Rattus norvegicus: one gene and its partner. The protein of the gene in region 1 purifies or fractionates together with the protein of each later gene. This does not show direct contact. Links are inferred from orthologs where the notes say so. Each region holds a gene or a part of one and is shown in the gene's direction. Other genes may lie near its edges.

Evidence for each region. Proteins that work in one complex are often made in the same cells at the same time.
Region 2: the proteins of Kat2b (region 1) and Supt3h purify together in Homo sapiens (affinity purification with mass spectrometry; 7 studies listed by BioGRID and IntAct, with this or other methods). This does not show direct contact. The link is inferred for Rattus norvegicus from reciprocal best matches to the Homo sapiens genes KAT2B and SUPT3H.

What each region holds. Positions count from the first base shown.
Region 1 is NC_086027.1:6,797,536-6,802,534, forward strand, and holds the start of Kat2b (histone acetyltransferase KAT2B), read left to right. Parts: upstream 1-1,609; 5' UTR 1,610-1,945; coding exon 1,946-2,194; intron 2,195-4,999. UniProt on the Homo sapiens protein: Functions as a histone acetyltransferase (HAT) to promote transcriptional activation. Has significant histone acetyltransferase activity with core histones (H3 and H4), and also with nucleosome core particles.
Region 2 is NC_086027.1:23,701,096-23,706,032, reverse strand, and holds the start of Supt3h (transcription initiation protein SPT3 homolog), read left to right. Parts: upstream 1-1,869; 5' UTR 1,870-2,124; intron 2,125-2,135; exon of another isoform or gene 2,136-2,283; intron 2,284-2,365; exon of another isoform or gene 2,366-2,384; intron 2,385-4,937.

The sequences.
Region 1 (4,999 bases):
TTTTCTCTGAAGGATATACACACCCCAACCCACCTTCTGTACAGCTGCTTACACCCCATCCAGCTCCAAGAGCAGAGCAGACTTTCTTTTCTGGACTCTAAAAATGAGCCAGTTTCTCTCTTCCTTCTCTGTTTTCTTCTGGGCAGCCGCCAGGATTTATAGCTCACTGCAATACAATGGGCCTCAAGCTTCCTTCAGAATCCATTTAAAAAGTGTTAGAAGAAGGACACTAGGAACAGACAAGAGAACCTACATCCCCCAATAATGGTTTAATGACAGACATTATTGTAGGAGCAGCTGTAGAAAGGACAGGACAGCGATGTAAAACCTGATGAGTTTTTCTGTTTGTTTTCTTTTTCTTGCTTGTTTGTTTATATACAAGATTTCACTGCGTAGTCCTGGCTGACCTGGAACTCTTAACTTAGACTAGAATGCCTAAAACTCAGAGACTGGCCTGTCTCTGATTCTGTAATTCTGAGGTCAAAGGTGAGGACCAACACACCTGGCCTTATCGGTTTATTAATTAATTAATTAATTAATTGTTGAGGAAAGAGTCTCACTCTATTGAGCTTCCACAGTGGGCTAAGGTCAAGCCTAGGTAGGGGGCGTTGGTCAAATATAGGCCAGGAAGACTGCAATTTCCCAGCCGTAGGCTTCATTCCTTTGAGAAGAAACTCCCCCCCCCCCCCCCCCCCCCGCATAGCATTGCTCTGCGTTAAAAGGACACAGAATCTGGAAAAACGCATCTTGAAACATAAAGTGTAATTTTTAGCAGGACCGACTGGTAAACGAGTATTTGCAAGGGAAAGCACATCCCATATGGCTGGAGTTCAGCAGGAGCTGCCAAGCTTGTGAGACAAACCAATCACAAACTCATTACGATCATTGTCCCACATCATGACTATGCTTGCTCCGCAGAATTAGGGCACTTGAAACGGTGCTGACAGGCAATGCAGGGCTTTTCAAGTCGCTTTAGAAAGGTTGACCCATGGTGAACAACCGAAACAACCTCTTTCTGCCATCAGAGACAGGGACAATAATTTTGCTTTTGAAGTTTAAGTCAAAATTGGTATCACTTTCCTGGACGCTGTCTTTCTGGTTAACTTGCATGCCCGGATTTCGTCTTTGAAAATATAATAGACAATAAACTAGCAGCAGACTTTAGCCAGCCCGGAGTGAACCCTGCAGGCAGACTCATTTCAAACTTTTTCCACGCGTTTAGTTTTCATTTTGCCGACATGTAATGTACTCTAACCAACAAGTATTATATACGTGTGAATACACACACACACACACACACACACAGAGAGAGAGAGAGAGAGAGAGAGAGAGAGAGAGAGAGAGAGAGAGAATTGAGTCTTCTCTCTTTGGTCATATTCGGTTCAGAAACTACCAGGGAAAGAGGATGGGGAAGAATCCTTAAAAGAAAAAGTTTAGCCCAAAGTAAAAAAAAAAAAAAAACACAAAAAAACAAAACACCCCTTCACGCCATGATTTTGGTGAATTAGCAACAAAGAGGAGGATTGGCCGCTGACGGGTACTTCTGGAAAACATTTTTTCCTCCGGCTCCCGCTAGGGTGGAGGAAGTTGGGTCTCGGCGCGGGAGGGTGTCAGGCCCAGGGACGCCAGCAGCGCAGGGCGGCAGGTGCCTGGGCTGCAGCGGCCCGGCCTCGCGGGTCGCCGGTCACCTACGGGCCCTGGCGCTCCGGGCGGGCGGCTACGCTTGCAGCAGCATGCCGGAGGCCCAGGGGAGCAGAGCGCGGTCAGGGCGCTCGGGCCCGCTAGCGTCCTAGCCTCCCGGGGAGGCGCGGGGGCCTGCGATCGCTGGCGGCCGAGCGCGGCGGGGGCGGGGAGGGCGCAGGGCGGCGGCCGAGGGGGGAGGGTCTCGGCTCCGCCACCGGCGCCCGCGGGGACCCTGGCGGCTGCGGGTGACAGTCGGGGCGGCATGGCTGAGGCTGGTGGGGTCGGGCCCCCAGCACTGCCGCCCGCGCCCCCGCACGGTTCTCCCCGGACCCTGGCCACCGCCGCCGGGAGCTCTGCTTCCTGCGGGCCAGCGACCGCCGTGGCCGCGGCGGGCACGGCAGAAGGACCGGGAGGAGGCGGCTCGGCCCGGATCGCCGTGAAGAAGGCGCAGCTGCGCTCTGCTCCGCGGGCGAAGAAACTGGAGAAACTCGGCGTGTACTCCGCCTGCAAGGTACCCGCTGGGAAGAACACAATCGCGGGGTCACGGGCGGGCCGGGACCCCCACCCCTCCCCCACCGTACTCCCAGCTTCCCGCCGGCACCGCGGAAGTGCTACATTCTCTACGCGCGCTCTGCCGCTGCGGCTCGCACAGCGTCTCACTGGGGCAGGGGTAGGGGGTCATCTAGATCTGGCTGTGTTCTTCTTCTGGGAAGGATGAGTCTTGGCTTTCGAGCGCTCGGGGTACTCTGGGGCTTTTCCTCTCTGTAGGAACTCGCCGGAGCCCTTTCACAGGGAGCGTAACTGTGCTTGGTGTGGCGGATCAGTCGGGGCTGGGAAGCAGCATTTTGGGGTTGGGGGCATCTTAATGTGTCTCCCTGCGTTCTCTCTCCCCATTGAGCCCCGCTAGGAGGAGCTGGGCTGTGGAGTGAGCGTCCAGAAGTGTCCTGGAATCCTGGCGCTCCGCGGGAGTGAAGGGGCGGAGCACGGGGTGGGAGGTGGGCACTGCCCCAAGCCCGGGTCCTTTGGCGCCTGGCGGCCTCGGCCGTGCGGCGACGGCCCTGTCATTATTGTTATTACTTATTTAAGCGAAAGCGCGATCCTGGCGGCTTAGAGTGTAAACAGGGTCTGGCAAGGTGACAGCCCGGGCGGCGAGCGGGTCTGCTCAGTTTGAGCACAGCTTTCTTGTCATTTTCCCTCCCAGAGGGTTTTAGGCACCTCGGGGCATCCAGCTATAGAGCACGTGTAGGGGGGCTCTGCTCCCCAGGCCGCATTGGAGAGCTACTCCGCGCTGTAGACCGCGGCTTTGTTTTGACAGGGTGACAGCAGAAGTGGGGCGGGGACTTGGCCTTGTTAGCTCGCGCGGCCTGTGGTTGGGACCGGGGAGAGGCGCACTCACACCTCCCTTCAGAGTTGCTTGCTGTCAAAGGAGTCACGTCCCCAGCATTCAGATTCTCATCCCCACTTCCGACTGTACAGCGAGGATGAATAAACCTGGTAGATGACATTCCTCCCGGGGGATTCTTGTTGTAATGTTTACTGGAGCTTCAAGGACCTTGGATGGTCTCAAGCATGGCCTTCCATTGTGACCAACTCCTGTTTATCCATGCTGTCACCCTCTATTTAGGTCGTGCACCCGCTGTGCCTTCCTGAGAGGGCACCAGTGCAGTGCTTTATACACATTGATAAGCTTTGTGATCGCTCTCTTGGAACTGCTGTTGCTAAATTAGGAGGTTGGGGTGGGGTCTGAGGATTTACATTTCTAATAAAGCCCCAGGAGTTGCGGAGTGGCAATTGAGAATACTTTCTTCGAGAAGCAAGTATATTACTACTTTTGAATTCTTCAAAGGAGCCGAGAAATACTAACGCCACGTGGTGTATCCTAAGGTTTGCAAAAATAAAATTGAAGTACGTGTCGAAGAAATGGGAAAAGCAAGGGGTTCTACTCCAATAGCTAAAGACTTCCTTTTTTTTTTTTTTTTTTTTTTTCTTTTTTTCGGAGCTGGGGACCGAACCCAGGGCCTTGCGGTTGCTAGGCAAGTGCTCTACCACTGAGCTAAATCCCCAACCCCAGCTAAAGACTTCCTAAGTCTTACAGTCCAACAATCTGTCCATCCTAAAACCTTCCTTAGACAGGACCTCTGGTGTTGCATGCAGGGAAGAGAGTGGCTGACAGAACTCAGAGCAAGTTCAGGGACTTAATAAATAGGCTTGGCTTTTGCAGCTGCTTTAGACTCATTGGTAAACTCAGTCAGCTATGTAGTCCTGCTTTTACTGAAAAGTATTAGCCTGAGTTCCATCACCAGTATCCCCCCCTCCATGCTGCCTGCCATCCTGTAGTACCAGAAAACATTCCTGTAGTTGTACACATGCATTCTTTCTAAATTCCCCCAGGTCTTCCTATGAAGTCCAGGATGGCCTTGAACTCCTGTCTGCCTGCGATTACAGCTCTACCACCATGCTCCTCCCCTGACCCACCCCAATACTTTGTATCATTCATTAGTGAAACTTCAAGTGTATAACTTGAGTATTTCTTGGTCATATTTTCTGACAAACTCAGAGGAAAGATAAACCTGTTATTCAAGCTCTTTCTTCCTGCTTTTGAGAAACTTTGAAAGTAATAGAGTTTAGTATGTGTGGTGTTTGTCTGCATGTGTGAGTGTTAGAATGTGTTCAACTCTTCCAAGTACTCCGGGAGCCATCTCACCAGCCTGAAGCCCTGTGGTCTTATTTGGTGATTTATTCAGCTAATGTTATGAGAAATTCTAACTGGGGCCGCGTTTTGAGCCAGGTGCTGGGTTTATGGCACCAGGATCTGTCTTGAGTTGTTGGAGTGTGTATTCAGATTCCAGGGTAAAGGCAGTAACCCAGCTGCAGTGGACCCCAGTGAAGCCTTCTTGGGGTGTAGGGCTCAGAGTTGGAGAACCCGGGAACTGCAGATCCAGGAGGTGGAGGAGGTGTAATCCTGATTTAGAACTTCTGGCCTGTCAGGGTTGGGTGGGGTAGGCTTTCTTGCTGTAAAGAGAAACTGAAAGCATTTTTGAAAACTTGGAGCTGGGCCAACCCGAGCCTGCCCTCCTTTGCTTGGGGCCTGCTGGATTGGGGGAGGAGTGAGTGTAGCCTAGTGGGTACTTGGGAATTCCGGACTCTAAACCTGGGAGGGATGTTATCTTAGATTTAAAACCAACTCAATGTTTATTTTATTATGTGCACGTGTGTTTGGGTGCACACTAGTGTTCAGATTATTTTAAGCTGGGCTGATTGGGCCTGATGAAGTTTTTCACATAATCTGTGGCTTTTTTTTTTTTTTTTTCTTCTC
Region 2 (4,937 bases), about 17 Mb from region 1:
AGAGCTGAGACGAGCCACAGATTCTTGTGACACCGAGGAATAGGCACCAGATAGCCATTTGTTCCAAGTTTCTTTTGGACCTAACAGCTATAATTTGTTAGCGAGTGAGATCTAGTATTTCTCTCTGGAGATGAAATGCCTGTGCGATTTAATGATTTTAATAAAAATGATCCGCATGGGATTTTATTTCTTTGGATAGTCTGTCTCCTGTTTCCACAGCAGTTTACTTATTTTTCTTTCTTATTTTAAGACAGCTCAGGCTGGTCTTAAAATCACTGTGTCATCAAGGCTGACCTTGACTTCTCCAATGCTGAGATTACATACTCAGCCTAATCTCTTATTTTGCAATATACTAAAAAAAGTCTTTTCACCTATTGTATATATAATCTAAGTTTACTTTTTAAGGAGGGAATGGCAGTTCTTAGCTACTTTCTGCCTAGGACAGAGTAAGCCTGGATCTTCTTACACTTCATGTTGAACCTCCACATCCTAAATACACTCTTGGAAGTGGATTTGGCAAATATCGAAGTGTCTGGTAGTTAGAGAGAACTAAGCACAAGACAACTGCAATCCAAAGAGGAGATAATCAGATGAATGGCTGTTTTAAAGACACTAAACAAGACGCTAGGATTATTTCAGAAGTCATAATACATTCATAGGCAAGGCATTAATGGAGACAGAGTGCTTGAAAAGACCCGGGAAAGGTGAATGTGATGGTTTGTATATGCTTGTCTCAGCGCAAGTGGCATTATTAGAAGGTGTGGCCCTGTTGGAGTAAGTATGGCCTTGTTGGAGTAGGGAGTGGGCTTTAAGACCCTCTACCTAGCTGCCTGGAAGCTAGTATTCTGCTAGCAGCCTTCAGATGAAGTTGTAGAACTCTCAGCTCCTCCAGCACCATGCCTGCCTGGATGCTGCCATGTTCCTGCCTTGATGATAATGGACTGAACTTCTGAACCTGTAAGGCAGACCCAATTAAATGTTGTCTTTATAAGAGTTGCCTTGGTCATGGTGTCTATTCACAGCGGTAAAATCTTTACTAAGACAGTGAATAATATAAATAATATAGTAATAATATAATATAAATATTTGAGGTGGCAGGATAATGGATGTTTTCTTTCCTAAACAGCTGAAGAGTGAAAGCATCGCACACCATTGTCTTGAGTGCTTTAAAGAACTACACCTGCAACCATCAAACACGGGAAGCCAGGTCATACATACAATACTGGTGGTACAAGATTTCAAAATGAGGAGCAGGCCAAAATCCTTAGGAAAAAGCACCACTGCTTATTTTTAAAGCCTCCTCAATAGTGAAAGTTATCAACCAAAGCATGCTTTTTAAAGTAATTCTAATTAGTAGAAACGAACTGGGGAAAACTTTGCGGATCAGTTGTCACAGGCTTTTGATTTTGCGCAAGGGCGGGTAGGGGTAGGTGGGGTGGAAGGAAGCTGGTGTTTCCAAGTCCCCAAACGGGCTGAGTCCCCACACAGTGCTTCTCTGAGGTTCAGGTCTTTCGGAACTCTGCGTCCCTTTGTCATTCGAAGCAATTCTGATAACCCGACCGACCGACCCCTAAAGAGACGCTTGCATGGATAATCTCCCAGTGCAGGTCACCGACTCTGAAGAATTCCTAGCCCCTCGGGCTCACTCCTACAGGCTGCAGAGTCTGCACAGGGTAAACCGGGTTCCTCAGCCCAATCCCTTACTCTACCCATCGCAACTACCGCTCTAGGCTCCGCCGCATGGATACGCGCCGCTCGGTCCGCCATGGCGGGAGGGCGAAGTCCCGCCCCCGGAGTGTGGCGGAAGTGGAAGGCGCAGTCCCGCGACCGCGCGCGCTGTCTAGCCCGGTGCGCATGCGCTCTCGCCGCACAGGTTGGTCCTTCCCTCTAGTCACCTCAGGCTTCACTACCCCTGCCCCGCCCCTCATAGTGGCACTCTCGCCATCTTACCCCCCCTTCTAGCCTAGCTCAGTCACCTTTTCCCTTTCTACAATCTTTGCCCCCACTCCCTGCCCCCCTGCCCGTCGTGTCCCGGGGCCGCCGCCGCAGACACCGCGCCATCTCTGTCCCCTCTCATTCTCCACGCGGGACGCGCAGCCGTGCCTCCACGTGTCTTAAGCAGAGGTTGTGGGGCGCGTGGGGGCGGAGGGGAGTGGGGCGAGGTCATGGGGACGTCAGGGACGTGGCAGCCAAAGATCTGGCCCCGGGGTGCGGGCCCAGCCGGTTGCAGGCCGCCGAGCGTTGGGTGCACCCTGGCTCCTCCCCGTCGTCCGTGGGCGTGAGGTGAGGGGAGCCTCGGGGCCAGGCGGAGAGGCACTGTTTCGCGTGTCACCCAGATGGGTGGGGAGTCCCTCAAGAAGGCAGCTCTACTTCTTGGAAGCTAGGTAGTGTTAATGGAAGGAAATGTAGTGTGCCGGCTGAGGGACGGGGGACGCAGAGACGCTGCTGTCAGAGCTCGCCTCTGGGACCCCTGGGGAAATAAATTATTTAGTTGGTGTTGTGGTGTGCACATGGGGATCATCATCACAGCCTAGTTCTAAACTCAGGTTTATGGGAGAAGATCTGTGTGCTAAAAGCTCAGCTGTGATGAGCTCCAAGTTAAGGGAATTGTCATCTTGCCTTCTCTATAGAAAGTCAGGACAGTTGATGTGACAAGTGGTAAGAGTTATAGGGATAGTGGAATATATTTGATATTCAGACATAATGATTCCGGTAACAGTGTTGTTAATGTACACCCCGATTAAAATTAGCTTCCCTGGAGTTAGTAGAAACTCAGGAAGAAACGGGTACATATTTATCTGGAATAAGACCTGGGTTTTCAGTATTTGTGAGGAGCAGTTCACTGTTAAAAGATTTACTTAAAGAAAGAAACAACTGGTAGAATTTCTGTGTGTTCCACAGAGGCGGGATTTGATTACTAAGGGACAGTTTCTAGATAATGCTTTGTACAACTAGACCACACTTAACCATGCTATTCCAAGTTTCCCATCCTTCTCCCCTTGCACTGCCCTAGGGAACTTTTTGCCAAGCTGGAAATGCTATACACTGTGGGCTACCAATATGGTACCCACCAGGTGCAGGTGACTCTTGAGCACTTGAAATGTGACTGTTGTCACTGATGAGCTTGATTTTTAATTGGTTAGCAAATTAATTACCATGTAAGTAGACACATGCATGGTGGTTATTATATGAGACTCCACATGTTTGAAAAAAAATGGAGAGCTGGTTACAGTTTTTATTTAGTTGAGTTTTAAGCCAAAGAGGCCTGCTTTTGGGATATTTACGGTTTAAGGAATCATAATTATATTCCAATAATGCCTTTCGTTCAAAGCATAGATCTGCTAGTATTTATTTACAGCTTGGCAAATCAAAGAAAAATACTCTGACTCTCTGGTTCTAAAGCTAATGCCAGATTTGGTTGGAAAGACAGCAGTGCTAACTAGACTTTTCTTTAATTATCTGTGGTGACCATTTGGTTAGTTCTTAGAAAAAAAACTGAACTCTTTTTTTATTGTTGTAGTTTCCCCCCACTTAAAAACTGGAGATTCCACCTTAACTTTTTGTATTATAAAGCAGTTTAATAAATTATAATAGTAGCCTTTGAGCACTTTTTGAAATCACCTTAGTATCCATATTTAAACTTCCAAAGAGAAAAGTGAAATTTGGAGATCAATGTGTCATGAGGCCACTTTCTTTGACATATGCCCAACTGTTTTCATCTGAGTTTTTGTAAATCTTGAAAATAAAACTTTCCCCCTCCTTGCCTTTCTCTTGCCCTCTTCCCTCCTTCTTCCCTTTCTGTGCTGGAGGTTGAACCCAGGCCCTCCCACATCCTAAGTGGATGCTTACTAAGCTATGCGCTCAGGCCTTGAAAATAAGCCATAAGGCGGGGAAAAGAAACCCAAAACAAAACTCTCATGGTAGATTGTACCCAGAACTTCTGCCTGATATTTGTAAAATATTGGCCTTGTCCTCAAGGCTGAAGATAATCGTTGGTTCTGGAATGGCAGCTTGAAGCTTATGAGTTACGTCATATACAGAGAATAGTTCATGGCATGCAGATCACACTGAGCTAGTCTTAAGTAGACTGGCTATCTTAATTTTTCTGGGATGGTCATGCTCTAGCCTACTTTAGTACTAGAGCTCCTTTCATATGATCAAACATGTTCCAGTTTAGACAGTGCTAGCATGCCTCTCCCCCTGCCATGTTGTAGGCTAGTCAAAATTCTTAATATAGTCTTGGAATGATTAGCTATTTTACAGTCTCCAAAATACACTTGTTGAAAACAGCGACGAGGTCCATGCTGTTGCCTTTATTTAAGCCATATCTGGAGTAAGGCCAGAGAGTGACTTGGTTACTTTAGCCACTGTCAGTTTAACCTTTTATGTTGTATAGATGTCATGGGTAGTATGATTGTTGGTTCTCTTTGGGGAAGAAAAAAAAAGTCCTTTGGTGTAAGGGGCTACAAATATGCCAGTACAGTAAGATCAGAAGATTGAGTGTTCCTGTTGAAAATGTTATTTTTGGTGAGGTCAGATAGTAAATCAACCAGAACCTTGCTTTTCATGTATTATCACTGATTTTGCTTACAGTTCCCTAACAGTAGGAGAAAGAATTCAGCCATTGCATTATTGTGTTGACTGAATTCATATTAACCAAGGAGGTTGAACTATTTTATTTGCTATTTCAAATGTCATCAGCTTTGCCACTGAGCCCTAGATGTCTCCTGTGGTCCTGCTAGCTTAGTCTTGGAAAGACTACCCCACACATAAGCTTCCTTTTCTGAGCTTGCTTACGGAGAACCCTGAAATGTCTTTAAAGAGCTGTGCCTTGCTTATGCTCACTGTCGTGTCTCACGAGAACAGAGCTCTTTGTGTGCACCAGATCTTGCTTAGTCATTATTTCGTGAAGAGAAGTATTTTAAGTTTCTATGCTA